7 linked regions of the Rattus norvegicus genome follow. The protein of the gene in region 3 interacts with the protein of the main gene of each other region in a pairwise test. Links are inferred from orthologs where the notes say so. Each region holds a gene or a part of one and is shown on either strand. Other genes may lie near its edges.

Region 1 (3,682 bases), on a different chromosome or scaffold from region 3:
CACCTGCAGCTGTCCCACCTGCAGCTGTCCCCACCTGCAGCTGTCCCACCTGCAGCTGTCCCACCTGCAGCCGTCCCCACCTGCAACTGTCCCCACCTGCAACTGTCCCCACCTGCAACTGTCCCATCTGCAGCTGTCCCCACCTCCAGCTGTCCCATCTGCAGCTGTCCCACCTGTAGCTGTCCCAGCAGCTGCAGCGTGCGCTCATTGGGGATGGTCTGGTTGATGCTGACAAGCGCGGAGGAGAACTCGGCGTAGCGGCGTGTGATCTCGGAGCAAGAAAGGGAGGCTCACACCTGCCTGCCTGTCACATATAACCCCAGCTGCCTCTGCAGCTCCTGCCCCAGTCAGGACAGGAGTTGTCTGCCCAAGCTGACCCAGCCTACCAGTTAGTATGACTGCCCGCCCCTCGTTCCCTCGCCTGCCCTTACATAGTGGGGCCGGGTGTCCAGCCCCCCGAGGCGCTGGGGGTCAGTGCTGCGGACGCTCTGCACATTCATCTCCAGGATGAGCTCAAATCGAGGCCACAGCAGGGCCAGCACCTGCTCCCAGTATCTGCAGGCTTAATCAGAGTCAAAGGTCAGCTGGCTAGGGGTGCTGGCTGCCCATGGGTGAGCGAGTGGGTGTGCCCGACACCAATGCTGCCCCTGGGACACACGGATGGGAGGGAATAAGGGTGAGGAAGAGTCAGGGTGGAGTTGTGTTAGATAAAAAGCTGACCGCTGGGGTTGGGGATTTAGCTCAGTGGTAGAGCGCTTGCCTAGGAAGCACAAGGCCCTGGGTTCGGTCCCCAGCTCCGAAAAAAAGAACCAAAAAAAAAAAAAAAAGCTGACCGCCTCCATGCACCAAGGACGGGAGCTCAGTGACCTGTCCAGGGCAGGGACGTCCCTCTTTGCTGCTATGTTGCGGAACCGGAGAACGATGTGGATACAGAGAAAAACAGCAATGGCGTCGTAGCAGTCGGCCAGGTAGGACTCCAGGTGTTTCTGTGGCACAGCAACAGGCAGACAACTGAACGTTAGCTGTTGTTCGAGTGGCTGTAGGCAAACACGTACAATTCTTTGGGGACAAGGCACTTGTGACCCCACTGGCTGCTGCTGAGCTCTGAGGACAGAGGGCAAAGGCACAGAAGTCAGAAGCTCACCAGCGTCATGGACAGCGTGCGGCCCATGACGGCGTGGAACAGGTCATGGGCAGCCGGGCCAGAGACGACGAAAAATTCACAGATGAAGAGATATTCACGGCAAGAATTGTCAAGGAGGGCATAGTGCTGGCTGCGGAAGAGTGCTTCAAACGGGTACTACCGAGACAGAGAGACACACGGATGGGCTTCAAACGGGTACTACCAAGACAGAGACACACATGGACGGGCTTCAAATGGATACTACCGAGACAGAGAGACACACGGACGGGCTTCAAACGGATACTACAGGTCAGAGAGACACATGGATGGGTCTCACACCGACCCCGTGGGTATGGAGACTCAGCACAGCTTAGGAATGCGAGCTCACAAGACCACATACCCAACTTCCAGGCAGGGAGGAGCACCCCATACAGGCACTGAAGAGGGGACACAGGTCACAAGAAAAGCCCTCCCCAGGGGCTGCTGCTGCCCCTACACCCACTGCAACTGTTGCCCCCTAACAGTCACACCCACAGCCAGTCTCCCTCTGCAAGGCTCTCCATGGCTCCTAACCCTCCCGCATCACAGCGGGTCAGGGACCCCCAAACTAACACGTAGGTAGGGAACTGATCCCAGGCCATGTAGGGATCGCCTCGCCATACCCTCTGCTCTCCACGCTGGGCAGTATGGGGCACCAGGATGGGGGCCTCGAGCTCGGCCGGTGAGATGACAGCACCACGGGTGCCCAGGGTAAAGATGGTGTTCCTGCTTCGCAGGGACGGCTTCGAGAAGAATCGTGAGCCACATCCGCGTCAGGGAAAAAAACGAGATGGACAGCACTAGGCCCAACAAGCCAAGGCCTGAGGATCCCAAGAAGCTAAATAAGGCCTGGAAGGCCTTTTCCAGAACCAGAGCCTTGCTTCTCCTGACACTGATAATGGCTGTCGAGGCTTCCCAAACCCTCTGAAATAAATGTGAAAAACTGTCAGAATGGCATGTGCTTCTTAGAGAGGAAGCTCTGGCTTTCACATCCTCAAAGGTGTGAACACAGAACAGGTAAAAAAAACACAGCCCTGGACTGTTAAGAGCACTGACTGCTCTTCCAGAGGTCCTGAGTTCAATTCCCAGCAACCACATGGTGGCTCACAACCATCTGTAATGGGATCCAATGCCCTCTTCTGGTGCGTCTGAAGACAGCTACAGTGTACTTATAAAAAAAAAAAAAAAAAGAAAGAAAGAAAAAGAAAAAGAAAAAGAAATGGAAGGAAGGAAAAGAAGATAGCTCTGCATGCTGGAGCTGGACGTCCCCGCCGTGAGCCCGGTGTGAGGCTCCCCTCTAAAGGATATCTTTCTTTGCTGTGTCTTCTACACCCATTAGATCGTCTTTCTCAGCAACTTCCTCGTACTAGAGAAAACAACAGAGAGCTGAGCCATCACTCTCCACATCCCCCCCAGCCCCCCCAGCCTCCCCCCTCCCCCCGTCTCTGGCCTGGCCCACCTGCACTTTCATGAGCCGCCCCACGTACGAGCGGTAGTATGACAGGTAGATCTTGCTCAGCGTCTCTACGTACTCATCCCTGACCTCCTTGGCTGTAGCACGCTCGTTGCCCAGCAGAAACTGATAGAAAAACCTGGAAGGACCGGGGTGAGTCAGACACCCTGGATGCCCACGCTGGAGGCTGAGAGGCTCGCTCATGGTCACCCTGTGCCCATCCCGGGGGGGCCACCTGTACTTCAGCAGGGCCGTCTGGGGGATCTGATAGTTGGTCATCGGCTTTCGGAACGAGTAAATCTTCTGGAGAATGAACTCACGGATCTTTGTCACCGCCTGGATGTGGGGTACAGACAGGCCGTGAGGTGGGAAGTGAGAGAGGGGACACAGGAGAAAATAAAGGTAAGGGAAGAATACTTCATTAGTGCTCTGGTTATGGAAACAGGGTCTCTCTGAGCAGCCCTTGCTGGCCGGGGACTCACAGAGGTCTGCCTGCCTCTGCCTCCTGAATGCTGGGGGTGAGTGCATCGCCATGCTGGCCTTATTTTTTCAGGGCTTTTTGTTTTGTTTAAATATGGAAGGCTTTATAAATTTCATGTTATCCCACAGGGGCCATGCTAATCTTCTCTGTGTTGTTCTAATTTTAGTACCCGCACTGCCAGTGCAAGCACTGCTTGTTCTGAGATGGCGTCTCACTCATGTATCTGGGGCCTGGCCCCAGACTCCGTTTCTTCTTCACCTCCTGAGTGCTAGGACGACAGACTCGTGCCATCCTGCCAACGCAGGAGGCACTGGGGATGGAACCTAGGGTTGTGTGCTTTACCAATGGAGCCACACTGCAAGCCTCCTTTGATTTTCAGGGGAGGACTGACACTGACACTACATAGCGGGAAGCAATGTGGAGCTCTTGGGAAGCTGACTGTAAGCAGCCGCTCCCCACCTTGACCCGGAGCCGGTCGAGCACGCCTCTGACGTCTGCACAGGCGGCCGTGCCTCTCGCCTCCTGCTCTCTGACCGCAGCCGCCTTGGCGTCCAGCTCCTGGAGCTGCTCCAGGAACCTGGGCTCT
Region 2 (4,267 bases), on a different chromosome or scaffold from region 3:
CAGTAATTCCAGTTCCACGTAAGCTGAAGCCGAAGCCCTCCTCTGGCCTCCCCTGGCACCAGGGCCGCACACTGTCACAGACATATATGTAACCGAAACACCATTAAAAACAATTTCAGAGATGTAGAACTCTCAGCTGCTTCTCTAGCAGCATGTCTAGCTGCACACCACCATGCTTCCTGCCCTCATGGATTAAACCTCTGAAACAGATGTCCCACACCATGCCTTTGTCCATGCTCCCTTCATGATAGTCATGGACTTACCCTCTGATATGCAAGCCCCCAATTAAATGCTTTGTTTTAAGTTGCCTTGGGCATGGTGTCACCTCACAACCCTAGAACAGTAACCAACACACACCCATATATGCCACCAATGAGGGAAAACATGCAGTATCTGTCTGTCTGTCTTATTTCAACATTATAATTTGTGCTTCCATCTATTTTCCTGAAAATGTCACAATTCCACTTCTCTTTATAGCTGAATAAAATTCCTTATCCATTTGCCTGTTAAAGAAAATAATTTCAATTTTAAAAAGACAAGTTTAGCCTTAACTATACAGCACGCAACTAAAAAATAAATAAGGAGCTAAAACCCAAAAACATACAGTCTAACTCTGTGACCTAAACTGATCTCCAAATCATGGGAATCCTCCTGCCTCAGCCTCCAAAGGGCTGGGATTTCAGACGTGAGCCACCACACCTGGCTTGGCAGATTTTTTTTGTCTCTCCCGTTTTATTTGTTTATAAAGAGCGTTCACCATTGCACACAGCAATTAACTGAGCCACTGTGGACAAGGACAAAGTCCTTAATGAAGTAGTTTGCACTTAACATTCTAAAATGATAGATTGTTTGATGTGAAGAGTCAAGGCATGTGGGTAGGCAAAGGTAGAGAAGGTTTGTTTCCTTGTTCGGTTTTTTGTCTTGGTTTTTAACTTTTGGTTTAAGGATGGGCTGGCAGGTACTTATTAAACTTTCGAAATGTTATGTGTATGTGTGTTTTGTCTGCATGTGTGTCTGTGCACCACATTCTTCAGTGTACACAAAGGCCAGAAGAGGGCACTGGATCCCTAGAGCTAGTGCCAAGCAGCTGTTAGCCACACTGTAGGGGTTGGGAATCAAAGTCAGGTCCTCAAATTCTCTTAACTGCTAAGTCCATGTCTGTCTGTCTCATTGTTTGTGTGGTGGTGGCAGGGCTCAATTCAAACCTGGGGCTTCCAAAGTGCGAGGCAAGAACTCTGGCGGTGACTCCCCAGGCCATGTCAAGCTCTAAGGGGTTTTAAATTATGGTTTATTTGTTTAAGGGTTTGTTCATTTAATTTGTGTGCATATGTAGTTTGCTCCCATGAGTTTATGTGTACCATGTGTAAGCCAGAGGCCTGGTTTGCCAGGACCAGACATTTAGAACTCTGAAACTAAAGTATTGAGCTGTCATGTGGGCTCTGGGAACCGAACCCAGGCCCTCTGTAAAAGCAGCAAGCACTCTTAAGCACCAAGCCATCTCTCAAGCTCCGAGGGGCTGGGGAGAGCTTATCAGAAGCCAAACCTTCCTCCTAGGAGCCACATGGAAATGTGGGCACCCTTCAAAAGCTTCTAAAAAGGTTGGGCATGTTAACATCTGTGAAACAGAGGGCTGTGGACTTGGGAGTCCAGGTCATCCTTAGTCATGTAGGGAACCTGGAGCAAACCTGGGCTACATTCAACATTGTTTCAAAACAAAAACAAAAAACCAGCCCCTGCAGAGTACTGAATTCCTAACAACCTGCCACTCTTATCTCTTCAACGTGAAATGACAAATATCTCACAGCCTGACATAGTTTCCTGTCCTAGGTAGGAAATGTAGGTACCAGGTCTTTTCCTTGTCACCTACACAGACCAAGCCCCAGGACCTAAGCTGTGTGTTACCTGCAGCACATTTTAACTGCATATTCACCAAAGGCAAAAGTGCAAGTAAGCGATCATCAAACCTCTCCCCGGAGCCCATAATAGTGACCAGCAAATACCTGATAACGAGTTGGCGGTTCATTAAAATGACAGGTCCCAGTGAACTCAAACCAGTCACTAGGTAAGAGTGTCAAAGTGCTCTTTTAGAGAGATAAAAGTCCACATGCAAAGATAACTAATATTTATTACTGTTTAAAGATCGTACAGGAAAAAGATACTTCATTTAAAAGATAGCTGGCCAAGAAACCTCTTTTTGAAAGACTCTGAAAGAGCGAGCTTCGAAGGACAACTAGACAAAAAGAACTGAGGGTTTGGAGCCTGCTTACTTTTCTCCTCTGTGTTCTTCGTTTCGTCACCGCTCTCGGGGCAGCACTGCAGAGAAACAGGTGTGGCAAACAAGTTAGACTCACGTAAGTGGAATTCATACAGGGCTCCAAAGCGGAGACGTCCCAGGCACCTCTCCCAGAGGCATGCCTGACACTACTGCCACCTCCCCAGAGGTCTGAACCACCTCCCCAGGGTCCAAATTACCCTGCCCTGACACTGAGTCCACCTTCCCGCCAACTCTCAAAACTGTCATCTTCTGGGACATCGGACACTGCACCGTGACTACCTCCCCCGGGACGCCCTTGACTGCCTCGGACCGTGGGAACCACTGCCACACGCTTCCAAGTTACCCTGCGGGGACAATGTCCCGGGGGGGGGGGGTGATGCGTTCTGTGCCACCTCACAGGGTCACCAGAGTCCCTTCTCCGGGTTACCAGGGACGCCTCACCAGGGCTGCCGGCACATCGCCGATCTCGCCAGCTGCAAGCATCCTGCCTCCGCTCGAGTCCTGGATTCCATGCACCGCCAGCCTGGCCTGCAGAGTCCGGCTAGAGAACACACACACTAGGCGACCAGACCAGCCTTCAGGGACGCCGGGTTGAGCGCCACCTCGACTTCCTATCGCCGACTCTCTGGTTCCGTTCTCTTGGCCTAGAGAGGCGTATCTGTGGCGCCGCTGTCCTGTTCCGTGGCGCCGCCTGCTGGTTGGCTGTCAGATCGGCCGCTCAGGAAACCCAGCGACCCTACTGCTTCCCAGGCAGAGAGGGCTGGCTAGCATGCTCTTCTGTGGCAGAGCTCCCTTCACTTCTCCGGAGTTATTAAAAACAGAATTCGGCCCTGGCATAGTGACTCACAGTTGTAATCCCACAATTTGGGAGGTGAAGGCAGGAGGATCAGGAGTTCAAAGTCAGCTCCAGTTACACACTGAGTTCAAAGCCGCTCTTGACCACAGATAACGAGGTCTCTCAAAAAAGAGGGAAGAGAGGAAAGGAGAAAGGGGAGAGGGGAGAGGGGAGAGAAAATACTTTGGCCTCCTTATGATGGTTCAGTATCAGCTAGAGCATCATAGAGAACATCTCGAGATGGCTCAGTGTGTAAAAGCACTTGCCACCAAGGCACCTGGGTTCCATACCTGGCCCATGTGGTAGAAGGAGAGAACCGATTCCTTCAGGTTGTCCTCTGACCTCCAAACGCCTCCCCATCGCTCTATAAATAAATGAACGTTTTATACTTAGGCAAATCCCGATAAAAAAGAAAGTGCGGATACAGACAAGAAGTGTCAGGGTAAGTTACTAGGTTTGGCATGACTGGGAATTTGCCAGTGAATGCCAGTATCCAGATCTTTATTTAATGCTGGTCAGGTTGCTTAGAGATGATCTTATTTTTTAACGGGAAGGTCCAGTTCTGTTTGTAGGAGGCTTGGAGGGTTGAAACATTCTAGGAATCAGGCAGGGCACTCAAAAACTGGCATCCAGTTTGCCTAGCTGAGCCCCCCAAACCTCTACTGTTTTCCAGGGAGGAGGAACTAGAGTTACTTAGAAGCAAGAGATAGGTAGAGAACACTGAAATTTGACAGGCAAACCCTGGAAAATGCCTTTGAGACCAAAACAAATGGGACTAAACGGAGACAAACAAACAAAGAAACAGAAAGCCTTTAGAGGAAATAGAAAATACTCGCTGAGAAAAAACCTCACTGAGGTGCAGGCATACACGCAAACATAACAGCCATACACATAAAATGAAAATAAAAATTAGGAACCAGGAATAGTGGTCACACCTTTTGTTCCAGAACTCAGGAGGCAGAGGCAGGTTAATCTTTATGGGTTCAAAGCCAGCCTGATCTACAGAGTGAGCTGAAGGACAGATAGAGCTATACGGTGAAACTCTGTATCGATCGATCAATCAATCAATCAATCAATCAATTAATAGAGTCTAGAGAGATGGCTCCAGCAGTTAAGAATGCTAGCAGCTCTTCCAGAGAAGCCAGGTTCACTTCTTG
Region 3 (4,136 bases):
AATTCACTGTCACCAGAGAGAGAAATATGATGGTGTATATAAGGTGCCTTTAGCAGTGCCTACATATCATTCTAATGCTGACGCAAAGGGACTCATCACTAAAACAAAGACTGCAACTTCCCAATGGACAAGGAATCTCCCAGCCCAGAACTCTAGCTCTAAAGATCCGGCTGTGTCTTACAGTGTAAAAACAGGAAACAACCCAAAACCAGCAAGTCTGTAAGTCCTGCTTATACACTGTGACTTAACAAACAGAAAACAGAGTATCAGTAACGCCTGAGTTGTTACTGTTTTGTGGACTGGTTACACATGTATCCACTTGTGTGTAGAAGGAGGTGGTGGTGAGGAGCCCAGCTTAAGTGGCAGGCACACTTCAGAATCCCGGCTCTAATTCTCACTGGCTCTGTGATCAGGACAATCAGTTTATTTTCTGTCTTCTTGCTTCCAAATGCATAAGCAGGGTTAAGCCAGGGGTGTACAAGGTCCTGTACATACAGTCTTTAATCCTGGCTCTCACTGACTCTACAGAATACCAAGGAAGACTCTTCTTCCTCTCCTCTTCTTTTCTGCTTTTGTCATTTCTTCAGTTATGTAATTGGTTTGGGGTTATTTTTATTTGTTTGTTTACTTACTTATTTTATTTTGAGACTGGGTCTGTCAGTGTAGCCTTGATTGTCTTGGAACTCTCTACGTAGACCAGGCTGGCCTTGAACTCAGAGATCTGCCTGCCTCTGCCTCCTTAGTACTGAGATTAAACACTTGGCCTGGTTTGGGTTTTTTTAAAACAACCTACTCCAGGCTGGCCTCGAACTTACAGACATTCAATCTTAGCCCCCTGCATGATTACTCCTGACTTGCTTCTGTCAACTTTTGTAGGCCCACCATGACTGAGGCTGAGATGCCCTACAGCCTTAAGATCTGTCCATCAACAAAGGGGGACACAGAGCATCTTACAGCCTCTCAGTTAGCTTGTCCAGGACAATGTCACCAGCCTCTAGTTGCTTGCGCCTCAATCGCTCCTGCAGGTCTGGAAAGGGACGAAGGGCTAGCACATCCTCAAACCGCAGACTTTGTGCAGCTTGCAGCTGCTCAGCCAGATTGCTGAGAGAGGAGAGGAGGGGCAAGCAGTCCTGCAGAGTGCTCTGCCACAGGTCCTGCTGTTCCTCCACCACGGGGAAGCACTTCTTCAGGGCCTCCTGCACAACCAGCAGCGGCTGGTCATGAGCCATCTTCTGGGTAGAAAAACAAAACAAAACAAAACAAAAGAGAGTCAGGGTACCAAAAAGGGAGAGCCTACATCAAGGGTGAGTCATTTTTGACCTCATGAGAAGACCAGATTTGGTTTTCAAATAGTCCCAAGGCAATATTGAAAGGTAGGGAGACTCTAGGTGACACAGAAAAGAACTCTTCGTCCTGGAAGCAGGTTGACACTTTCGACCAACAATGAAGTAAGAATTTCAGCAGCATACTTACCAACTGCTTAAGGCCTTCCTTCCTTCCATGTTCTAGAAATCTCACCAGAAATCCCATTTACAGAGAAAGGTCACACACTACTCCATTTACAACCAACTGCTTAAGGCCTTCCTTCCTTCCATGTTCTAGAAATCTCACCAGAAATCCAATTTACAGAGAAAGGTCACACACTGCTCCATTTACAACCATAGGAGCTCCTGATTTCACTTTATTGGATTGTAATACCATCAGAGAATATTGGAAGCCCTCTCACTTACTTCTCTTCTCAAACAACTTTTTGTTTGAAGAGAATAACAAGGGTTCTTTAGAAACCCTTTTGAGATGTAACCTGAAAGCTACCAAAATAAGTATACACGGCTAATGTAATATGACTTTAATCCCAGCACTCTGGAGGCAAAGCCAGGTGATCTCTGGGTTTGAAGCAAGCCTGGTCTACAGTCCCAGGATGGCCAGGGCTACAGAGAAACCCTGTCTCAAGAAACTGGGGGGCGGGGGATGGTGTCAACTGTTGATCTCCCTGGAGAAGACCAGACCCACATGACTATGTCTAACTTTCTGAGATTGTTTGAGCAGCCTTCAAGTGTATTCTATTTTATGCCTAAGTGCTTCTCTCTTAATCCCTGTGCTTAAGCCTGTATTAAAAGCTTTAGGCTGGGAGTTGACGAATGTACCTTTAATCCTAGCACATGGAAGACTGAAACAGGCAGATCTCTGTAAGTTCGAGGCTAACTTAGTCTACACAGAGACTGCCAGGCTAGCCTGAGTTAAATGGTGAGCCCCCGTATCAAATGTGTGCATGTAACTCTGCTTCATAGACTGGCTAGTGCTGAGTTCTTTCCAGCCTCAGAGCCATCAACTGAGCTGAAGTCCCTAAAAGGTTAGGGGAACTCCTCACCTTGCTGAAGTAGGCAGAGTGAAGCTGTGCTCCTCTGTCTTGTCACCGCTGACACTCAAGAATAAAGATTGCGGCGGTCCTCTTACCAGTTCTCTGCAGAAGGACTGCAGGTCTTCCGAAGGGGTTTCTAAACGACAGTGCAATCTACTTTAGATTGCGAAGCCCTGGGGTCTGTCTATCCCCGGACCAGTGCTTCTGGAGTCTTGTCTCCTCTCTTTAAGATTTCCAGCCCTGTTCCTAAATCAACAGGAAAACGTAAATCCTGGGTTGTCAACACTGAGTACATCAAAAACTACACGGGGCTTGGCACTGTCTGCTCATTCACAAGACCGAACTCACCACTCCAGTTCTAGTTAGCACGACTCTGGAGTCGCGAAAAGATGGCGTATGCCTCAATGACTTCTGGGCATTGTAGTTCTCCATAAGGATTGGCTGACGGAGGGAGAAGAAGCTTTGTTGTGATTGGACTTTGTGAGAACCGTCCTAAGACGACGATTTGCTATTGGCTAGGCTGTGCCCGTTGAGTTTGAATTGGGTGGCGGTTAGTGGAAGATCAACCCGTCCCTCAGCTGGAGCTGTAAGGTTTCCTGAGTCTGTTTTGGGACCCCCAGGTTTGTTTCCGCAGAGTTCAGGATACCTAGACTCCAACGACTGAACTTCCGCTGCTCCCCGACCACTCACGCCCTCTTTCCCGGTCTCATTCGCTAACCCGGCAGCTCGGCCCCTCGCTGGACGCACCCTGGTGTCATGGCTCCTAAGAAACGCAGCAGCCGCGGGACCAGGACCAACACACTGCGGAGCCGGAAGCTCGCCTCCTTCCTAAAGGACTTCGACCGCGAGGGTAAGGGGTGGATTCGCGTGATCGTGAGTTTTGGGTGGGTTGGGGCGCGGGTGCGACGGCTTCGCACACCTGACGCGGGATCCATCGGCTTTCACCTCTTTGCAGTGCAAGTTCGAACCAAGCAAATTGAGTCCGACAGGCAGACCCTCCTCAAGGAGGTGGAAAATCTCTACAACATCGAGGTCCTTCGGCTCCCCAAGGCGCTGCAAGTCATGAAGTGGCTTGACTACTTTGGTAAGAGCTGCTAGCGTTTCCCCCGTGGCCGATTAGTGCTTATCTTGAAAACTTTCTATAGGGACTCATTCAGATGTCTTAATAAGGTCTTAAATAGCCACCGGTGGGAAATTGCCATCTGTCATAACTTATAAAAAAAAAAGTGATAGACCCATTGGAAAGAAGCGGGCATGAATTACCCTTCAGATGAGTGTTATTAGGATAGTGCTTCACACTTTCACTGCTCAGTGGGAGGAGAGCTTTAGAAGGTATATACCAGAGATAGATGAGGGGGGGGGAGGGGGGGGCTGAAGGAAGAGGGAGGGAGGGAGAGGGAGGGAGGGAGGGAGGAGGAGGAGGAGAAGGAGGAGGAGGAGGAGGAAGAGGAAGAGAGAAAAGATCAAATCCATAGTACAAAGTGAGCTTCTGATTCTTGAAGGCTTTCAGAGGTTGGGGAAGGCCGTTCCACACTGACCTGACCTAGCCTAAGCTAGCCTAGGCAAGGATGCAGGCACTTGGTAGGACTATAAAAGTTTTCCTGCCGATTTACAGAGGAGGGAGAGAAATGCAAGACCAGGATACATCATGTTTTCTCCGCATCTCTGTGTCCAAGGGGAGAGTTGCAGGAGGGCACATCCATATTTTGGAGAGGAAAGAGGCAGTTTATGATCTGAAACCACCTTACTGCTCAGTGCACCTGAAACTGCCATCCAG
Region 4 (3,682 bases), on a different chromosome or scaffold from region 3:
TCTTCCAAGTTTAGATAAATAGTGCTCAGCTTTCTTTCATTATAGATTGGCTTACATATCTGGAGTTTCATGTAAATGGGTGGTATAGTGTGTGCTTGTTTTCGATTAGCCTCTTTCACTCAACACACTCACGTTGATAGTTCTATTAATAGTGTTTTATCCTAAGTTGCATGTGTTCAGCATATGAATTACATTTGTTATGGAAAGCAAATGACTTTATTAACTCCACACTGTATGTTACATTCTGGAGGAGATTTAGATAGAACTAATTTGAAACTGTAGTTGAGCCCAAAGTCAGTGTACTGTTTTGGGATATTGCGTACAGATCCTTTGGTGTTCCAGACTTGCCCATACAAGGACATAATAAGTACATTTTAATTTTCAGGGAATGTCCTTTCACGCAGTGGTAGTGTAAAACAAAGCAGTTAGGTACATTTTACTTGGTTTTGGACTATAGTGTATCTCTGAATACTGTGTTCTTCGCCCTTCTTGGGAAATGTTGGGAGAGAAATCTTCTGATTGGCCTCAGGGGGCAGGTGACTCTAAAAGTTGTTACCTGAGAACTTCATGCACTTATTAGGTACAGACGTTAGGCAGCAGAGCACTAATCAGTTATGCGTCACTACTACGTAGAAACTCAGTCTGTACAAGAAAATGGTGTCTTCCTCATTTAACCTTTGATGATTACATTTTTTTAACCTTGTCATTTAATGTGGGGAAGGAAAAAGATCTTTCGGTGTCTGTTTTTTTTGAAAACCAAGCTGTTAAAGTCCATCGTATTACCATTCTAATCTCATCGCCCCGCTCTTTTTAATACTTTCAGGCGGATATAATCCCTACGTGGAAATCATTGAACAGCCAAGGCAGAGGGGCATGCGGTTTAGGTACAAGTGTGAAGGTCGCTCAGCCGGCAGCATCCCAGGGGAGCGCAGCACAGACAACAACCGGACTTACCCGTCTATCCAGGTAATGGGCCTTTCTTCAGGATCTCGCCTTTAGTGCTTCATTCTGTCTTATTGTCTTCTAGACAGGGTCTCTGTGTGGTCCTGGCTATCCTGGAACTCACTCCATACACCAGGCTGGCCAGAGATCTCCCTGCTTCTGCCTCCCTCCCAAGTACTGAGTTAAAGGTGTGCATTACCACCGCCTGGCTGAAGGCTCAGTCAGTCTCTTAACCGTCTTTCGCAAGCCCATGCTCTGGGCCCCCCCTTTTTTTTGTGCTTGTTCTTCATTAGCTAGATGTATAGGGATCTCTTAAAACTGTCGACTCTGTCCTGCTGTATAGTTCATGTATTAATGTAACCGCAGTGATTTGCAGGGCTTATCACACACTGACAGCTTAGGAGCCAATCCCTTCTGTTAACACAAAGCACTTGATGAGGAAAAGGCATTCTTTACGCATATTGGCGAGTGCAGTTAGTGTATATGTTAAAGGTAGATTTGGATCATCTTTTGATATTTTAATCATGCCTTTATAATGATCGCTGAAACTCTTGCGTTATTAGCATCGTCTAAAGTATCACTCTCTCTGCGTGTGTGTGAAGTGTGTGAGCGTATGCTCGTCTTGTGTGTGTGAATGTAGACACTTGGGTACCTCAGTGCCCCGTGGGAGTCAGGACAGTTGGGTGGGTTCTGTCTCATTCTTCTGTTTCCAGACAGTGCGTCTTTGCTGTTTTTCCACTTTAGACACCTGGTCCACCAGCTTCCAGGGTTCTTCTGTTTCTGATTCTCATCTCCTTAGAGGAGTGCTGCTGCTACAGGCTCGAACTGCTGGTCTCTCTCTTTCTTTGACAGACAGTGCTAGGGATTGAACCTAGAATCTTAGGAATGCCAAACAAGTGTTCTGCCGCTAAGATATATATCCCTAGCCTGCAAAAACAGTTTTTGGGTTGGAAATAAATTTAGCAAATGTACTATATTTATTAGGTATGTTTATATTTTATGTTTATACATCATATACACTTGCCTTTTCATTTTTATAATTTATTTATCCATGTTTAGTGTTTTGAAACAAAATTAGCCCCGATCTTGTAGTGACCTCGCCTCCTGCCTCTGCACCTTCATACTGGAATTGTAGACATGGGCAGTCATGCCTAGTTAGTTTTATCGTTTGAGTTCCAATTAAAAACCTGAATGATGAGTTGCAATGGTAGCACGTGACAAACATTTGGGAGGCAAAGCTAGGTAGGTATTGAGTTGAGAACTGCCTGGCTACATAAGAAACTCCAGGCCAGTCTAGACTATTCAAGCCAGACCTTATCACTGCAAACAAATGGAAACAAAGTTACTAGCACATCAGGGGCAGTGTCACCCACCAAAATCTCATCTACTTGGGAGGCCGTGGTGGGCAGATGGATAAAAGGAAGACACTGTCTCAGAATGGATTTTGAGATATGGTTCTTAATATTCCATCCATAGATCTGAAATCACTGTTTTGTGACTAGCTTATTATTTGCAGTTTAATTTTATTGAACCTAAGAAGAATTACAAAATTAAAAAATAAGTCAATTGCCAAGTTGTATATTGATTTCCAAATTTCTGTTTTTATATTTTAACTGATATATATATATATATATATATATATGCTTAAATTATATATGTTAACAGGATGCCATGTAATATATGATACACGTATGCATCATGTAATGCTTCAATCAGGTTAAACACACTTAGCTCCTCAAACGTTTATCATTCCTTGTGGAAACACTCAAACCCTCCTAGTTTTTTGAAATATACTCTGGTCCTATGGATGGTCAGTGCTCTTAGCTGCTGAGCTGTCACTCCAGACCCATAACCTCATGTTTCCAAATCACATTTTTTTGCAACAATATTGATTTGTATTATCTGAATTCTTTTTAGGTGTTCACATGAAAGATACAGTGAAAAGTTAATTTAGAGTTCTATTCTTCCAACCCTGTGAGTCATTTTTGGCTCCTCTTAAGAAATTTTCTGTTCCTAAATTAAAGCATTCCAGAGGAGAGAGTCTTTATCCTTACTCCCCTACTCCAGTGTATCCTGGTAGATCTGGACGTTAGTGCAGGCAGCGCACAGCACATCTGCTGCTGTCTGCAGCATACGACAGACACTGCAGCTCTGGAGACGGTTTTCAGACATGTTTTGAGAGGATGTTTCAGATACTTTGGGAAGGAGGTGCCTCAGAAAGGCAGGTCCAGGTCTTGCTCCGTTTGTGGTCTCACCCTCCACCAAGATCCCAGCTTTCCCCTCACCTATGGTGTGGGTATAGCCAGGGGTGAAATTCAAAACCTACTTCTGTTTTCACCTTCCTTTGCCACAGGATTTTCATGGGCAATGTGGTCTCAGAGAACGCTGGCTTTTTTTTTTTCTTTTGACACTTTTATTTCTCTCCTCCTCCTCCTTCTCCTCCTCCTCCTCTTCTTCCTCTTCCTCCTCTTCCTCCTCCTCCTCCTCTTCTTCTCCTTCTCTTCCTCCTCCTCCTCTTCTTCCTCTTCCTCCTCCTCTTCTTCTTCCTCTTCCTCCTCCTCTTCTTCTCCTTCTTCTTCTCCTTCTCCTTCTCTTCCTCCTCCTCCTCCTCCTCCTCTTCCTCCTCTTCCTCCTCCTCTTCCTCCTCTTCCTCCTCCTCCTCTTCTTCTTCCTCCTCTTCCTCCTCTTCTTCTCCTTCTTCTTCTTCTTTTTCTTCTTCTTCTCCCCCTCCCCTCCCCCT
Region 5 (3,682 bases), on a different chromosome or scaffold from region 3:
GAAGGCAAGACCAATGGGCTCACCTTCACTAAAGCCTCTCAGTGGGAGAAGCTCAGGTCACAGCATGAACTACCTTGTGGCACTGAGGGTGAAGGCCCCAGGCTGCCCCCACCTCTTTGTTGGAGAGGGTAGAGCAGCAGGACCTGATGAAGGAGGGACTCTCCATTATCTGGGCAGAGTTTACAACATCAGCAACATAGTCTCAAAGAGCTGAGGAATGAAAGGGAGGCTGGAAAGGGAAAAACAAGAAAGGTATTGATGCCTATGTGTATGGAAGGAAGGAAAGCAGGACAAAACAGTAAAGCATGTCTGTTTAGACTGCTATTTCATCTCTGTGAAATGTCCATGTCAGATGCATTCCTAAAGACAGAAGGCCTTAGAGATGGGATGGGGAAGGGACTAAAAACTACAGGGTTTTTTTTTTTGTTTTTGTTTTTTGGTTTTTTTTTTTTTTTAGGGTAACTTTAACCATACTTTGAAATGAATGTGGTATTGACTCTACAACTCCGTGGACCACAGCACAACCACGAACCAAGCACTCTGAATGGGTGAACTGCTAGGTTTGTTGATTATAGCCTCAATGCTGCTTTGTGGTAAAACCACTGGCAGGCTGGCCAGTTTGCTCAGCAGGTAAAGGTGATTGCCACCAAGCCTGACAACCTTGAGTTCCATCCCTAGGACCCACATCATGGAAGAAGAGGGTGCCCACTCCCATAAGTTATCCTCTGCCCCTCACAATGCATAAGCTTTCACATTAATGATAATAAAAAGACTTTTAAAACAGCAGCTGGAGTGCTGGCACACATGTATAATGCAAGTACTCAGGAAGCTCCAAATTCAAGGTCAGTCCGAACTAATACTGAGTACCAGACCAGCTAGGACTACATAGCAAGACCCTGTCTCAAAGATAAATAGGACTAAAGAGACAGATCAGTGGTTAAGAGCACAGGATGCTCTTCCAGAAGACCCAGGTTCAATTCTCAGCACCCAGTGAGGTTTACAACCATCTGTAACTACAATTGCAAAAGGATTGATGGTCTCGGTGGGCACCAGACATGCATGTGGAACAGACATACTTAGAGAAAAAAGACCCAAACACATAATTCAACAAATTCTGTGATTAAGCCCAGGAAAGGGTCTAAGGTAGTAGTCATAGTATTGAGGAAACTTTTCTGTGTTTGAAGTTTTACCAAAATAAAATCAGGAAAAGGAAGAGGAGCTTGACTCAACCACTGTTACTGCTGCTCCACTGTAACCCAGGGAGGCTTCTAAAATCTAACCTCCATCTCTTGGTGCTGACTAGCTACCAAGCATCCCCAATTGACTCACAGCCACCTGAAATTCAATATGCCAAAATGTTAAACTCATGTCTTTCCACCTTGCGTGGTAACATGCAAGAACAGGGAAGCCAAGACTATCCTCCCATGATCCATTTGTCCTCTCTCCCCTCTTACCTATCTGGACACTCCCCAGTGTGGAACTGAAATCTAGGGTACACTGGCGACTTATGTTCCTAGAGAGCCTGCTAAGCTTCACAACATTCCCAAACTAGCCTGCTTCCCAATTCCTTTCCTTCCAGGCCCTGCATTAGGGAGCTAAGATCCACCCAGCTGGCTCTGGATACTGATTTGTTTGTATGCTGATACAATCTCATGGAGTCCAGGCTGGCTTTGAACTTACTACATAGGGAGCATGAATTTGAACTCCTGATCCTCCGGCCTCTGTCACCCAAAGCTGGGATTATAGGCACACAGCACCACACCTGGCCTAGACACTGAGCACTAGATTTTCAGGCCAGCAGAGCGGGAGTTCAAGCCTCAAGAACACAAGCACCTCATCCAGGAAAATGAATAGGGCCAGACATGGAGATTCAAGGGGCTCCTAGTTCCCACTGAAAAAAACCAGGACACAATGGTCTTAGGAGGTCAGGAGGGAATCCACTATATGTCCCAGTCTAGGATCTAGCCATTTTGCTCCTTACTCCTGGACAAGCATTTGCTCACCATACCTCCATTTCTCAGTTCTTTGGGGCTGAAATGACAGACACATTCATAGCAGCCAGTACTCTTATTTTGTGTCTGGTAGTGTCTCACTAGACCCTTGGTAACCCCATTTTACTGGGGAAGAAATAGAGGCATAAAGAGAGCCGGAGTCCAAGGAAATGGGCAGGACCTTTGGGCCAAGACTCCCAAATCCCAAAGCTCTTAATCCCATGGGCCCACCTCGGCGAGTGATCTCTGCTTTCAGCAGTCCCTCCATGGCATCTGACTCAGCCAGGTCCAAAGGCAGGTCCCCGTCACTGTTGACAGCAGCGATGTTGGCCCCATGGCTCAGGAGGTACCTAGGGAAAAGGAAAGGTCAGAGCTGCCAGGCCTGGACCCAACACCTAGCCCAAGCCCTTCCCTTCAACCCTTGCCTCACCTAGCAATGTCCAGGTACCCACAGGAGGCAGCCACATGCAGAGGCGTCCAGCCCTCGTTGTCTGCCTGGTTCACAGTAGCACCCTGCTCCACCAGGAAGCGAACGACTTCCAGGTTCTCATCTATGCAGGCCTGAGGATGGGAACAAGCCCATCAGCTCGCATCTCACCCAGCCAGAGGCCCGACACGGAGACTTTTCTACAAAGGGACCCAGGGCCAGTGAGGAGTGTGGAAAGCAATGCAGATGGCTCCAATGTAAGTCCCAGGGGTCCTCCAGCCACCAGCAGCTTAAAATATCCTAGTTACTCCATGTTTGGGTCACCTGAGCATGAAGAATTCATAGAGACAAGAGGAGGCTCCAGAAGCCAGGATGAAAATGTAGACCTGGAAAAATAGGACTGCCATCCCTGCATGTTATTGCTGAACATATTCCTGAGATGGAGGAGCCCCAGAGCCCAGACATGGCCTCCCAAAAGACAGGGCGCCTTGATCAGACACGACCCAGCACAGGTAGTGGAAGAATGATCACCCAGCCCTGAGTTCCATTCATAGCACAGGAAAAAAAGATTATCACCACAAAAAGACACACATGCACCTCCTCCCAGAGACAAAGCTGAGGTCCAGGGGCATATTTCCCAAATTTTCCTGTGCGCAGGTCCCTCAGAACATCTTTTCCAAACAACCCACACCACACTACTCCCCCCTCCCGCCACACACACACACACACACACACACACACACACACTTCCTCACCCTTAGAACTGAAAGCTTGGGGAGAGGAAAGTCTCACCCTAGCCAGCACAATATCCAGAGAGCTGGTCCCCATCCCTGATGACACTGGCTAGACACTGGAACCACTGAGTCTAGGGAGGGGGTAGGGTCCCCACTCCTGGGCCCTCATGAAAATTAACCCCCTTCTTCAAGTTCAACCATCTGGAGAAAGAGAGAAGGAAGCTACGAGGGCCAAGAGCATGAAGTCATGGAAATTTAGGCTGCAAGAGGGGGGCCACACGTGCCCTGGGAACGGGATGAACTCTGGGCTTCACTCTGGGCTCAGTTTATTTCCACCCTGTTGTCATGGTGATGGGAGGGGGGGCAAGGAGGCAGATGGGCCTTTCCCTTTCAAGGACCTGGCCGGGCACCGGCATCCATGTGAAAGATGCCTGAGGCTGGGCACTAGGGACCCAAGAATCTAGGCCCACCTCCTCCTCCCTCAGACACAGAACTCTAGCCAATCCTCTTTTCTTAGACCTAGGGGGCCA
Region 6 (4,397 bases), on a different chromosome or scaffold from region 3:
GTCTATCAATGGGAACATTCATTCTCAGTCAACCCCAGTGACATTATCCTTCCTATTGATTATATTTCCCATCTTTGTAACGTATTAATACACTGGGTGGTTGGCACAAATGTTTATTCTCTTTACTTGTTTTGGTGTTTAAACGAGTTTCACCATGCTAAAACAAGCTTGGCGTTGCTGTGTGCTTACTTGCCCCTGGTAAAGGTGATGAAAACCACTGCTAGTCAGTATTAAGACCATTATATTAAATAACGTTGAATTAAGACCGTTATATTAAATAGTAAAACAAATTGGGAAGAGCTTGGCATCTCACTTTCCCTGTTTCCCCACCCAAAAATAACTTGTGCCTGAACAAAAATTCCTTCGTGTGCGCAAATAATCTTTAGGGCATTGGTTCAGCTCAGAAGTAGGTCAGTTTCCCCCTTGCAGAAAGAAAACAGGGAATGGGGCTTCTGGTCCTTCCTGAGGTAACTACCAACCTGCAGAAGCAAATGGAGCATTTGTGCTCATGAAGCCCAATCTGAGGAAACCCAGCGGATTCTAATGCCTTCTTAGGAACCTTCTCAGTGTCTTAGGATTTCACGCACATTCAGCAATAACCGCTAAACAAAATGACAGTGTGGTAACATTCTTAGACATAACTAATCATGATGGAGCATTAAAAGTTCACCCTGGACCTAGAAAATCGCAGGTTCAACGCGGCTGGGAAGGAAGCAGTCAGCCCACACTGGGGTCAAGAAAAGTTTCTATCATCTTTCAACCCCTTACAAAATACACAGCCCTTACTGTCCTACACTGCAAATGCGATTTTTTTTCAATTCTTCAAACTAATGCCTCAAATTGTATGTTCTAACTTTCAAGTCGCTAACACAGAAAATTAAATAAATGCAAACACTGTGCTAGTTAAGTGATGTCTTCCAAAATCTGTATCCAGGTTGCCTTGTAACTACAGGGAAGATTCAATGGAAGAAAGAAAGAACAGAAAGAAAGAAGGGAAAACGGAAAGAGGAAAGATAGGTAGGAAGGAAAGAAGAAAGGAAGAAAGTAAACATCTTTACAATGAGGAATATAGTTAAGGGCTTTGTTGTGCTTCCTGGAAATTTTCAGTTTTACTGGGCTGCCGGGATGTACTGGCTATTGAACTTTCAGGCCCCTGAATTCTTCTGGGAGGCTCCCCTTTTGTTGGGCTGCTCAGGTTACCCACACTTTCTCTGTATCTTCTTCCAGCGCTGTCAGAGCTGTTGTCTGTCAGCTCTCTTCGCTGCACCTCCAAGCAGTACTCAATTGGTGAAGGCTTTTATTTTCCACTCTTGAAATTCAAAAGTTTTGTTTCCTTTAGTTGGCTGATTGATTTTTTTTTGCTTGTTTTGTTTTATCCTATGTTAGCACCACATGAGTGTAATCACTATAAGAATACCCTTTCGTCAAGCCCTTATCTATTTATTCGCAATTTTCAGATGTATTCCTTAAACACTTCTAGATTACTGGATAATGTCTTTTTCGCCAAATGAATAGAATGCTTTTTAAATATCATTTTAAGTAAATGCTATTTAAGGAACTCTGAAAATAAAATGTAAATAAAAAGTTTTGGGTTTCTTTTTCTTTCTTTTTTTTTCTTTTTTCTTTTCTATTTTTGCGTATTTTGTCAAATCCAGTTAAAGTTCAAGATATTGTGCAATAATGTGGAAACCAAGCTAATGATAGGAAAAGTCTAGCTGTTCAGAGTTGGGAATTGGAAAGAAAAAGTCAAAGAGAACCGCATGCACGCACACACAGAGACATGCACGCACGCCCAGAGGATGCAGCATCCCAAAGAGCACACCCCGCCCAACCAGTGGATGGACCGCCACGCTCCTTAACCGATTTCGCATAGTGTCACTTGCTCTTTCTTCAACGCTTCTGGAAAACTGATTTGCGATCTTGGGGGGCTTTGAACGGCTGGATGTAGATATATTAACTTCAGTGAAACACGTGCTCCTGAATTACAGGGCCGACCCTGCATAGATGAATTCGGCCACCAGAGAGAGGAAACGCTAGCTGCTTCTTAGTTTGTCTTTCTACAAGAACCATCCCTACCTCCCCTGCATCTTCCTAGCCCAGAGCGCACTCTCCCCAGGATTGTTTTGCCGACACTCACCTGAACTGTCGCTTTTTCTTTTGCTGCCACTTCTCTTCTCCACTTCTGCGGGTGACAGCGCTTGACGGCCATAATCCCCTGGTGCGCACGCGGCTCCGGTCGGGGTGCTGGAGCCCAGGCTAGAAGAGTTGGAGCACAGGACCGGAGGGCTGCTCCCCAGCTCCGGGGGCCCTCCGGAATCAGGCTGCAGGCAAAGGCTGTGCCGGGCCGCGCTTGGCGGGGAGGACATCTGCGGGAGGTGCCAGTTGCTTTGCAGAGCCTGGTGCTGCTGCTGCTGGTGGTGGTGATGGTGGTGGTGGTGGTGGTGGTGGTGCCCCCTGTGATGCTGGCTGGCAAACATGCCCTCCTCATTGGGGTATCCCGCGATTATGCAAGACGAGGAAGATGTGGAGAGTTCGGGGTAGGACATGTGGTCAGATCTTCCATGGAGGGCCAGAGAAGACTGCGAGAAGGGGTGCAAGCCTTGCGCTGTGGCGTGGGGGCTGCGCAGGCAGCCAAAGAGGGGGTGTTCCATGGCATGCAAGTCTCAGCTTCCAAGCAGAAGACTTCACGAAGGTCCCAAAGTCCACCAAGCGCTGTCACTTTTCACTAGAAATCCTAGGACTCTCCCCCACTCACTCCTAATGTAAAAGCCGCGCGGGTTTGAGCAGAGCCCGCTAATCCCAGTCCTGAGCCGAGCGGCCAGTCTCCTGCACGTATAAACACTAGGACCTGGAGGAGCTTCCCTTGCAGCTGCTCAGATGTCAAGTGTGGGAGAGGTGGAAGCCAAAAGAAGGTGGTCCCAGAGAACTGCTTTCAGGGGGGGAAATGGCTCTGAGAGGTTATAAATAGAGTGTAATGTGAGCTGGGGGCTGGCTTAGGAGCCCAGCGCTGACCACATGCAAACTCCCTCCAAAACTCCCGCTCAGTCAGCGCCACCGTACTCTCTCATTTCCAGTTCCCAATTGCTGGCAGGACAGGAGCGGCTGCCCCACGCCCGTCGGGTCCTGGGAGCTTCCACAACAGTTAGTGGAGCGCCCAGAGCCTCAGTAGCTCAGGGACACCACCGCGATCTATCCCATAGATTCCCGTGGCCAGACACAGAAGCACTCGACTATGCTAAGCCAGCACCCCGTGTCTGTGCTCGCTCACTGTTCTTGGAACCTAGATTTCCCAGCCTTGGTGGGGGTTGCAGTCACCTACAGGCGCTCTCTGACTTTTCAGATCACAGAGAACTTATTAGAGTTCAAGAGAAGGAAAAGAGCGAAGCAGTCTAGCTTTTCAAACTCCAAGACCACTCGCACTTCCCGCATTCAGGGGCACATTATATTTTTCCCTTTTAGGTGTTTTAGGATAGATTGTTAGAAAACCCGCACCAGAGAGGAGGTTGTAGGGCTGAGCACCAAGGATAGCACAGAGCTACTCTGAGTGCGGAATGGAGAGGTAGCCAGTGGGGTGTGCCTTAAGCAGAGATGGATGCAAGTTCTGGTGCCTTGGTGGCACATATTTATGTGCCACTCCAAGTGGTGTCCCCCTTTCTTCTGTTTCTGACCGTGTCCTCCCAGCCCTATGTCTCTTTAACAACCCAGTTTGTTCAATTTCCTCAACACTCGCTCACTGGGAAAGTTTTCTGGGTCAGGAACAACCCTAAGAAACATCAATTGAGCAAGTATAAGTTGCTCCCAGCTTCACCCTTTCTAGTCTAACCCTACAGGAGCCAATTCACACACACACCACCCCGTCCCCCATCCGTTGAGAAATGAAATTTCTTTTTTTAGCTTACAGTGCTCCTCTTTGCATACATTCCGTTCGTTCCTTGCCACCTCTCTGTTTTAAGCAGATAGCAAACTCAACATTTCCTCAGAGTCGACCCTGCTATGATGGTTCATTTCCCCCAGGTTTACAGCCTGGGCTCCTGGAAGTGAACTACGAAACTTGCCCACTGGTGAATTTGTGAGAGCCGGGTTGCGGTTGACACAGCCTTTAGCTTGCTTGACCTGCCACAGAGTCTACTAGAGGTCCTCTCTTTAACCCACAACAAGCTTTGGAGAATGAGCTGCAGGAAAGTGGGTCCTGTCTGTGAAGTGTCTACAAGGAGGATGTCTGCAGTAGCCTACTGTGTTCAGGGCTTGGGCGTGCCACTACGGTTAACTGCCATATGTTTATTGTCTGGGTGACCAGAAGATGATGGTCAAGTCTTTGAAATTGCTAATGGGATTAATGAGTACAGCAACCTGAACTAGACATCTGGCTTAAATTAGGAAAAGGTATTGATTAATTT
Region 7 (4,198 bases), on a different chromosome or scaffold from region 3:
TAATAAATGCTTTCTTTCCACTAACCACGAGTCAGATGGGTACCCAAGCCCAGGAACGCCATACTGAATAACACTTCATCTTTTTTCTTTCCTCTAGAAGATGTGGCTCTGAGGCTGCGGAGGGAGCGATGAGACAGAGGTGAAAGATGTGGTAATGGAGCCTTTTACTAGTTGGCCACCTCAGAGGACTGGGAAATTAACCCTCAGGGATCTGAGCCAAGAGACTGTGGTGAACGCCTGACACCTATTTCTGCTGTTCTCCGTGCATGCGTATTTAAGATAAAGTTTAAATTCATAAATTATGCACAGTAAGAGATGAACAAGAATTAATAGTGGAGCAATTACAACGATATGGTTCTAATTAATTTGGTGTGGATGTATTCCCTCTCTCAGAGCATCATCTCACTGCCAAGTGTGGTGGCACACACCTTTAATACGAGTTCTCAGGAGGCAGAAGCGGGCAGAGAGATAGCTGTGGATTCTAGGTCAGCCAGGGCTACGCGGTGAGACCACGTCTCAAGTAAAATAAATAGATGCATACTATTATTGCTGGAACTTTCTATTTCACGTTTCAGAGCTCGGGTAATAAAAATCAAGGAAGTGAAGCCAGTCCTCAGATAAGGAACAACCGATGAGCAGAAAGCCACCAATGGCTCGTAAGTCACTCCCTGTTGTTTAAAAGACACAGGAAAGTGCCCATAAGTGCCCAGGGATGATAACAGACTGGGTTTGCTTTCACACAGCTACCGAGCAATACAAAACACGGTTAATTCAAACACTTTAAACGCCACGCCTCACTAGTATGTTCTTTAAATCATACACATATGCACATACAAATATGCTTTTCAAATCATGTATGTATTGAGTGAAAACCTGGCTGCCAACCAAGACAAGCAGATGATGGGAACCCAGACTTTCCTTTGCTGTCCCAAGAGTGATCCAGGATATTCTGATCCTCCACACTGGGGCGCCTCCTTTGGGTGTAAATTTCTCACAGCACCTGCTGGCATTTCTTCTAGGCTCTGCCCCACAGTTACCTGGCAACAGCCAAATATACCTGACTCAGTATAAAAGGGGCTGCTTGCCCCCTCCTCACTCTTTTGCTCTTTGTCCCTTTTCTCCCCATTCTCCTCTACCCGCCTCTATACCTGATCAAAGCCTGCCTCTACTCTCTATTCTTCCTCCTTCTCTTCCTCCTCCTCCTCCTTCCTCTCTCTCTGTCTCTGTCTCTGTCTCTCTCTGTGTCTCTCTCTGTCTCTGTTTCTCTCTGTCTCTCTGTCTCTGTCTCTGTCTCTGTCTCTGTCTCTGTCTCTGTCTCTCTCTCTCTCTCTCTCCTTTCTCTGTTTCTTCTACCCCGTCCACTCCCCTCCCCATGCCCTAAATAAACTCTATTCTATACTCTTATACTATACCATGTATGGATGGTCCCTCAGGGGAAAGGGATGCCTCAGCATGGACCCACAGAGGCACCCCCTTCCCCCACACCTCTACTAAACATATCCCTGACTTCTTTTTCTTTTTTATAAAACACAATAGCACCCATCTCACAATGTTGGATTTCCAGGAAAATCAGCTCAGCTGTGGCTCTGGCTGTCAGGATAGCACTGTGCCTGGGATTGTACACATGGAACTTGAGGAAAAGAACAGACCAGAACCTTGTAACTGCTGTCTAGGGCTGACCTCAGCTCAGCCAAGATACACAGTTATTCTTGCCTCTGCTTAGCTTCTAGATAGGGAAGTCTGTTTCTAAGAGCATATTAATGTCTGGCTCTAGCAACCATCTACTTTCTTCAAAAGCTTCTCTCTATATTTTTTAAAGTACTAACTTGGTAAAAAAAATAAACTTTCTGAAATATTTTAAATTTCGGAGTAACTTACAATCACTCCACTAAATGCCCAGTTTCTACCAACCAGTGAAAACAAATGGTTATTGGATAATGGAATTAATTTTCTCTTCAGCTTCTGTGGGAAAGCACATGATTTTAAGGGTTATCTCAGATCGGCCTAGTGACCCTAGCTGGCATGTTGTCCCATCAGACGCTCTAGGAAACTGAAAACTTGAATAGCTACTTCCTAGGCCGCCTGCCCCAGTTTGACAGCACCAGACTCATCTCCGTTCTTATTCTAAGTACAGGGATCCAACCTCGCTTTTCAAAAGCGTATTAACAAAGCCTTGCAATTATAGTCGCCTTCTGACTCATTTGTGGATACCCGTGTAGAAACAACAGCTCCTCCCTCTGCTGAGAAATGCTCTACTAAGTGTGAGAGAGCCACAGGAAGTAAAACGCAGGTCTCAGCTGGTCTCGGCCAAAGAAGCCAAAAGAATTCCGTAGTGTGGTTCTTTAAGCAAAGCCACCAGATCGCTCCCCCCTAAAACAAACTCCCCCAAATCTTCTGTGCGGGCTGTTTCAACGCCTTATCAATGTTCCCATATTTCCTGGCTCCTGAGTCATACTGTCAAGTTCAAGTGGAGAAGTGCCCATTCTGATGTGCTTGAGAAAGTGGCAACCAAACGGAAAAGAAGCACCTCCATTCAATAAAACAATAAAACTGACTACACCAGTCATTTCTGAAGCACTTCTGATAAAGCCTTAGATTCTCAAAGACTTAAAAAGCTTTTGGCTCTAGGAGTGAAACCCAAAGCCGCGTCCTGAAGGTACCTAGAGGCGCAGAGGGAACCACACCCCAAACCCACCTGCTGCTGGGCAGCATCCCTGCCCTGGGCCAGTGAGGTCCGCCACTCCAGCCAGCCCCGCACCCGGGTCCCCGATGCCCAAAGAGTTTGAGAACCAAAGCACACTCCCGTGACGAAACGAACCGTGATCCGGCGGGGCGCTGATCCAGCGTCCGGACGCCGGGAGGACACGCAATGCTCGCGTCCCGGAGGCTCTGCCTCTTCTGCTTCTTGATGGCCAGGGCTGCGCTTCTCAGCCGGGTCCGAGCTCTGCGCCACCCCGGCCGCATCTGGCGCTGCTGGCTCCGCCCCCACCGCGCTGAGCCTGCACAGCTGGGGGACCAGGCCCCGCCCCGGGGACGCCCTGGGCTGGGCGCGCAGTTTCTCGTCCTCACGGACGAGAGTCGCCACGGTGCGGGTGGCTGAGAACCTAGACACGAGCCTCCCTCCACTGCTGTGCGCCCCGAGATGCTGCGGGCGACCGTGTGGACCACCCGGGAAACTTCCTCTGTCTTCTTCGGTGCTCTGGGATGGAGAGATGGGCGGAGCGGGATTCGTCGGACTTTCCAAGGGAAAACCCCTCGGCATGAATGACATTTGCAGTCCAGAGCATTTCCGAGGCTAGGACGCTAGAAACCGTTTCTGAGCGTGGGTGTGGCTGCGCCTGCAGAGACCCGCGCGATGGTTGAACCGGAGGTTGTGGATCTTGAAGACACTGAGCCCCGCCTTCCACTAGTCCCTTCCCGCCTGCTGTCAGTGGGGCATCCACGGGTACTGCCACGACCTCGTCCTCGTAGCCTGACACCCTACTAGAGACTCGGAAAGAGAAAAGGGGCTTTCGGGTGAGCGGATGGGAAGCCTCTGGACAAACACGGCGAAGGCTAACCATCTAAAACAGAAAAATGATGTGTGCATTGATGCTAGGAAGTCACCCAAAGAGCTCCGGGTGCCTAAAGCCGGAAGAATTTGAGGAACGAGGTGGCACTGGATGGTAACACAAAGTTATTCATCTAACGTGAACAGATGGCCGATGAAATAGGTCCACAAGTCTCCGGAGCAGAGCAACTTCAAGCAACCGAAGCAGAAACCCACTTTCTTGGAAAAGAAACTTGTCTCTCTGCACTCAATATAGAGAGCCTGCTCCTCTACATAGGGCTGTACAGAAAGGAGGAGGAAAGTAGTTTTTACCACACAGATAAATGATGTTGTGACAGTGAGCGGAGCTTGCCCCTGGTTCAACAACCACAAATCCACTTGCACACCCCCACTCCCACCCCCACCCCACGAAAATGCCTGACCAATCCTACTCACAGCTGTTGAAAGATCCTACGAGAAAAGAATCTTAACCGGCCACGGAAGATGCTGAGAAGGCTGGGAGGTGGGTTTCGGAATTAAACAAAAACAAATCGGTGGGAGACGGCTCAGAACTTGATGTTCTTGCGGAGGACCTGAGTGCGATTCACAGCACCAACATGGTGCCTCTCCTAACCTCTGTGGGTGCCGGTCGCACACATGATATGTACA

The links.
Region 1: the proteins of Airim (region 3) and Vps52 interact in binary tests that used the Homo sapiens proteins (3 or more experiments, as listed by UniProt). The two-hybrid records come from large-scale screens. The link is inferred for Rattus norvegicus from reciprocal best matches to the Homo sapiens genes AIRIM and VPS52.
Region 2: the proteins of Airim (region 3) and Rint1 interact in binary tests that used the Homo sapiens proteins (3 or more experiments, as listed by UniProt). The two-hybrid records come from large-scale screens. The link is inferred for Rattus norvegicus from reciprocal best matches to the Homo sapiens genes AIRIM and RINT1.
Region 4: the proteins of Airim (region 3) and Rel interact in binary tests that used the Homo sapiens proteins (3 or more experiments, as listed by UniProt). The two-hybrid records come from large-scale screens. The link is inferred for Rattus norvegicus from reciprocal best matches to the Homo sapiens genes AIRIM and REL.
Region 5: the proteins of Airim (region 3) and Ppp1r12c interact in binary tests that used the Homo sapiens proteins (3 or more experiments, as listed by UniProt). The two-hybrid records come from large-scale screens. The link is inferred for Rattus norvegicus from reciprocal best matches to the Homo sapiens genes AIRIM and PPP1R12C.
Region 6: the proteins of Airim (region 3) and Meox2 interact in binary tests that used the Homo sapiens proteins (3 or more experiments, as listed by UniProt). The two-hybrid records come from large-scale screens. The link is inferred for Rattus norvegicus from reciprocal best matches to the Homo sapiens genes AIRIM and MEOX2.
Region 7: the proteins of Airim (region 3) and Stx11 interact in binary tests that used the Homo sapiens proteins (3 or more experiments, as listed by UniProt). The two-hybrid records come from large-scale screens. The link is inferred for Rattus norvegicus from reciprocal best matches to the Homo sapiens genes AIRIM and STX11.

What each region holds. Positions count from the first base shown.
Region 1 is NC_086038.1:4,926,847-4,930,528, forward strand, and holds part of Vps52 (vacuolar protein sorting-associated protein 52 homolog), read right to left. Parts: coding exon 3,556-3,682; intron 3,281-3,555; exon of another isoform or gene 3,184-3,280; intron 2,952-3,183; coding exon 2,851-2,951; intron 2,755-2,850; coding exon 2,622-2,754; intron 2,529-2,621; coding exon 2,471-2,528; intron 1,920-2,470; coding exon 1,786-1,919; intron 1,343-1,785; coding exon of another isoform or gene 1,301-1,342; coding exon 1,145-1,300; intron 1,038-1,144; coding exon of another isoform or gene 987-1,037; coding exon 868-986; exon of another isoform or gene 834-867; intron 563-833; exon of another isoform or gene 556-562; coding exon 432-555; intron 270-431; coding exon 174-269; intron 1-173. UniProt on the Homo sapiens protein: Acts as a component of the GARP complex that is involved in retrograde transport from early and late endosomes to the trans-Golgi network (TGN).
Region 2 is NC_086022.1:12,245,238-12,249,504, forward strand, and holds the start of Rint1 (RAD50-interacting protein 1), read right to left. Parts: upstream 2,881-4,267; 5' UTR 2,759-2,880; coding exon 2,717-2,758; intron 2,314-2,716; coding exon 2,268-2,313; intron 1-2,267. UniProt on the Homo sapiens protein: Involved in regulation of membrane traffic between the Golgi and the endoplasmic reticulum (ER); the function is proposed to depend on its association in the NRZ complex which is believed to play a role in SNARE assembly at the ER.
Region 3 is NC_086023.1:142,482,051-142,486,186, reverse strand, and holds the start of Airim (ribosome biogenesis protein C1orf109 homolog), read right to left. Parts: upstream 2,801-4,136; 5' UTR 2,455-2,800; exon of another isoform or gene 2,369-2,454; intron 1,233-2,368; 5' UTR 1,230-1,232; coding exon 955-1,229; intron 1-954. Other genes in the region: Cdca8 (borealin), read left to right, coding at 3,116-3,209, 3,315-3,443. UniProt on the Homo sapiens protein: Part of the 55LCC heterohexameric ATPase complex which is chromatin-associated and promotes replisome proteostasis to maintain replication fork progression and genome stability.
Region 4 is NC_086032.1:101,911,804-101,915,485, reverse strand, and holds part of Rel (proto-oncogene c-Rel), read left to right. Parts: intron 1-823; coding exon 824-966; intron 967-3,682. UniProt on the Homo sapiens protein: Proto-oncogene that may play a role in differentiation and lymphopoiesis.
Region 5 is NC_086019.1:78,365,763-78,369,444, reverse strand, and holds part of Ppp1r12c (protein phosphatase 1 regulatory subunit 12C), read right to left. Parts: intron 2,553-3,682; coding exon 2,422-2,552; intron 2,342-2,421; coding exon 2,223-2,341; intron 1-2,222. UniProt on the Homo sapiens protein: Regulates myosin phosphatase activity.
Region 6 is NC_086024.1:59,582,471-59,586,867, reverse strand, and holds the start of Meox2 (homeobox protein MOX-2), read right to left. Parts: upstream 2,844-4,397; 5' UTR 2,652-2,843; coding exon 2,138-2,651; intron 1-2,137. UniProt on the Homo sapiens protein: Mesodermal transcription factor that plays a key role in somitogenesis and somitogenesis and limb muscle differentiation. Required during limb development for normal appendicular muscle formation and for the normal regulation of myogenic genes.
Region 7 is NC_086019.1:9,137,333-9,141,530, forward strand, and holds the start of Stx11 (syntaxin-11), read right to left. Parts: upstream 2,888-4,198; 5' UTR 2,819-2,887; exon of another isoform or gene 2,696-2,818; intron 1-2,695. UniProt on the Homo sapiens protein: SNARE that acts to regulate protein transport between late endosomes and the trans-Golgi network.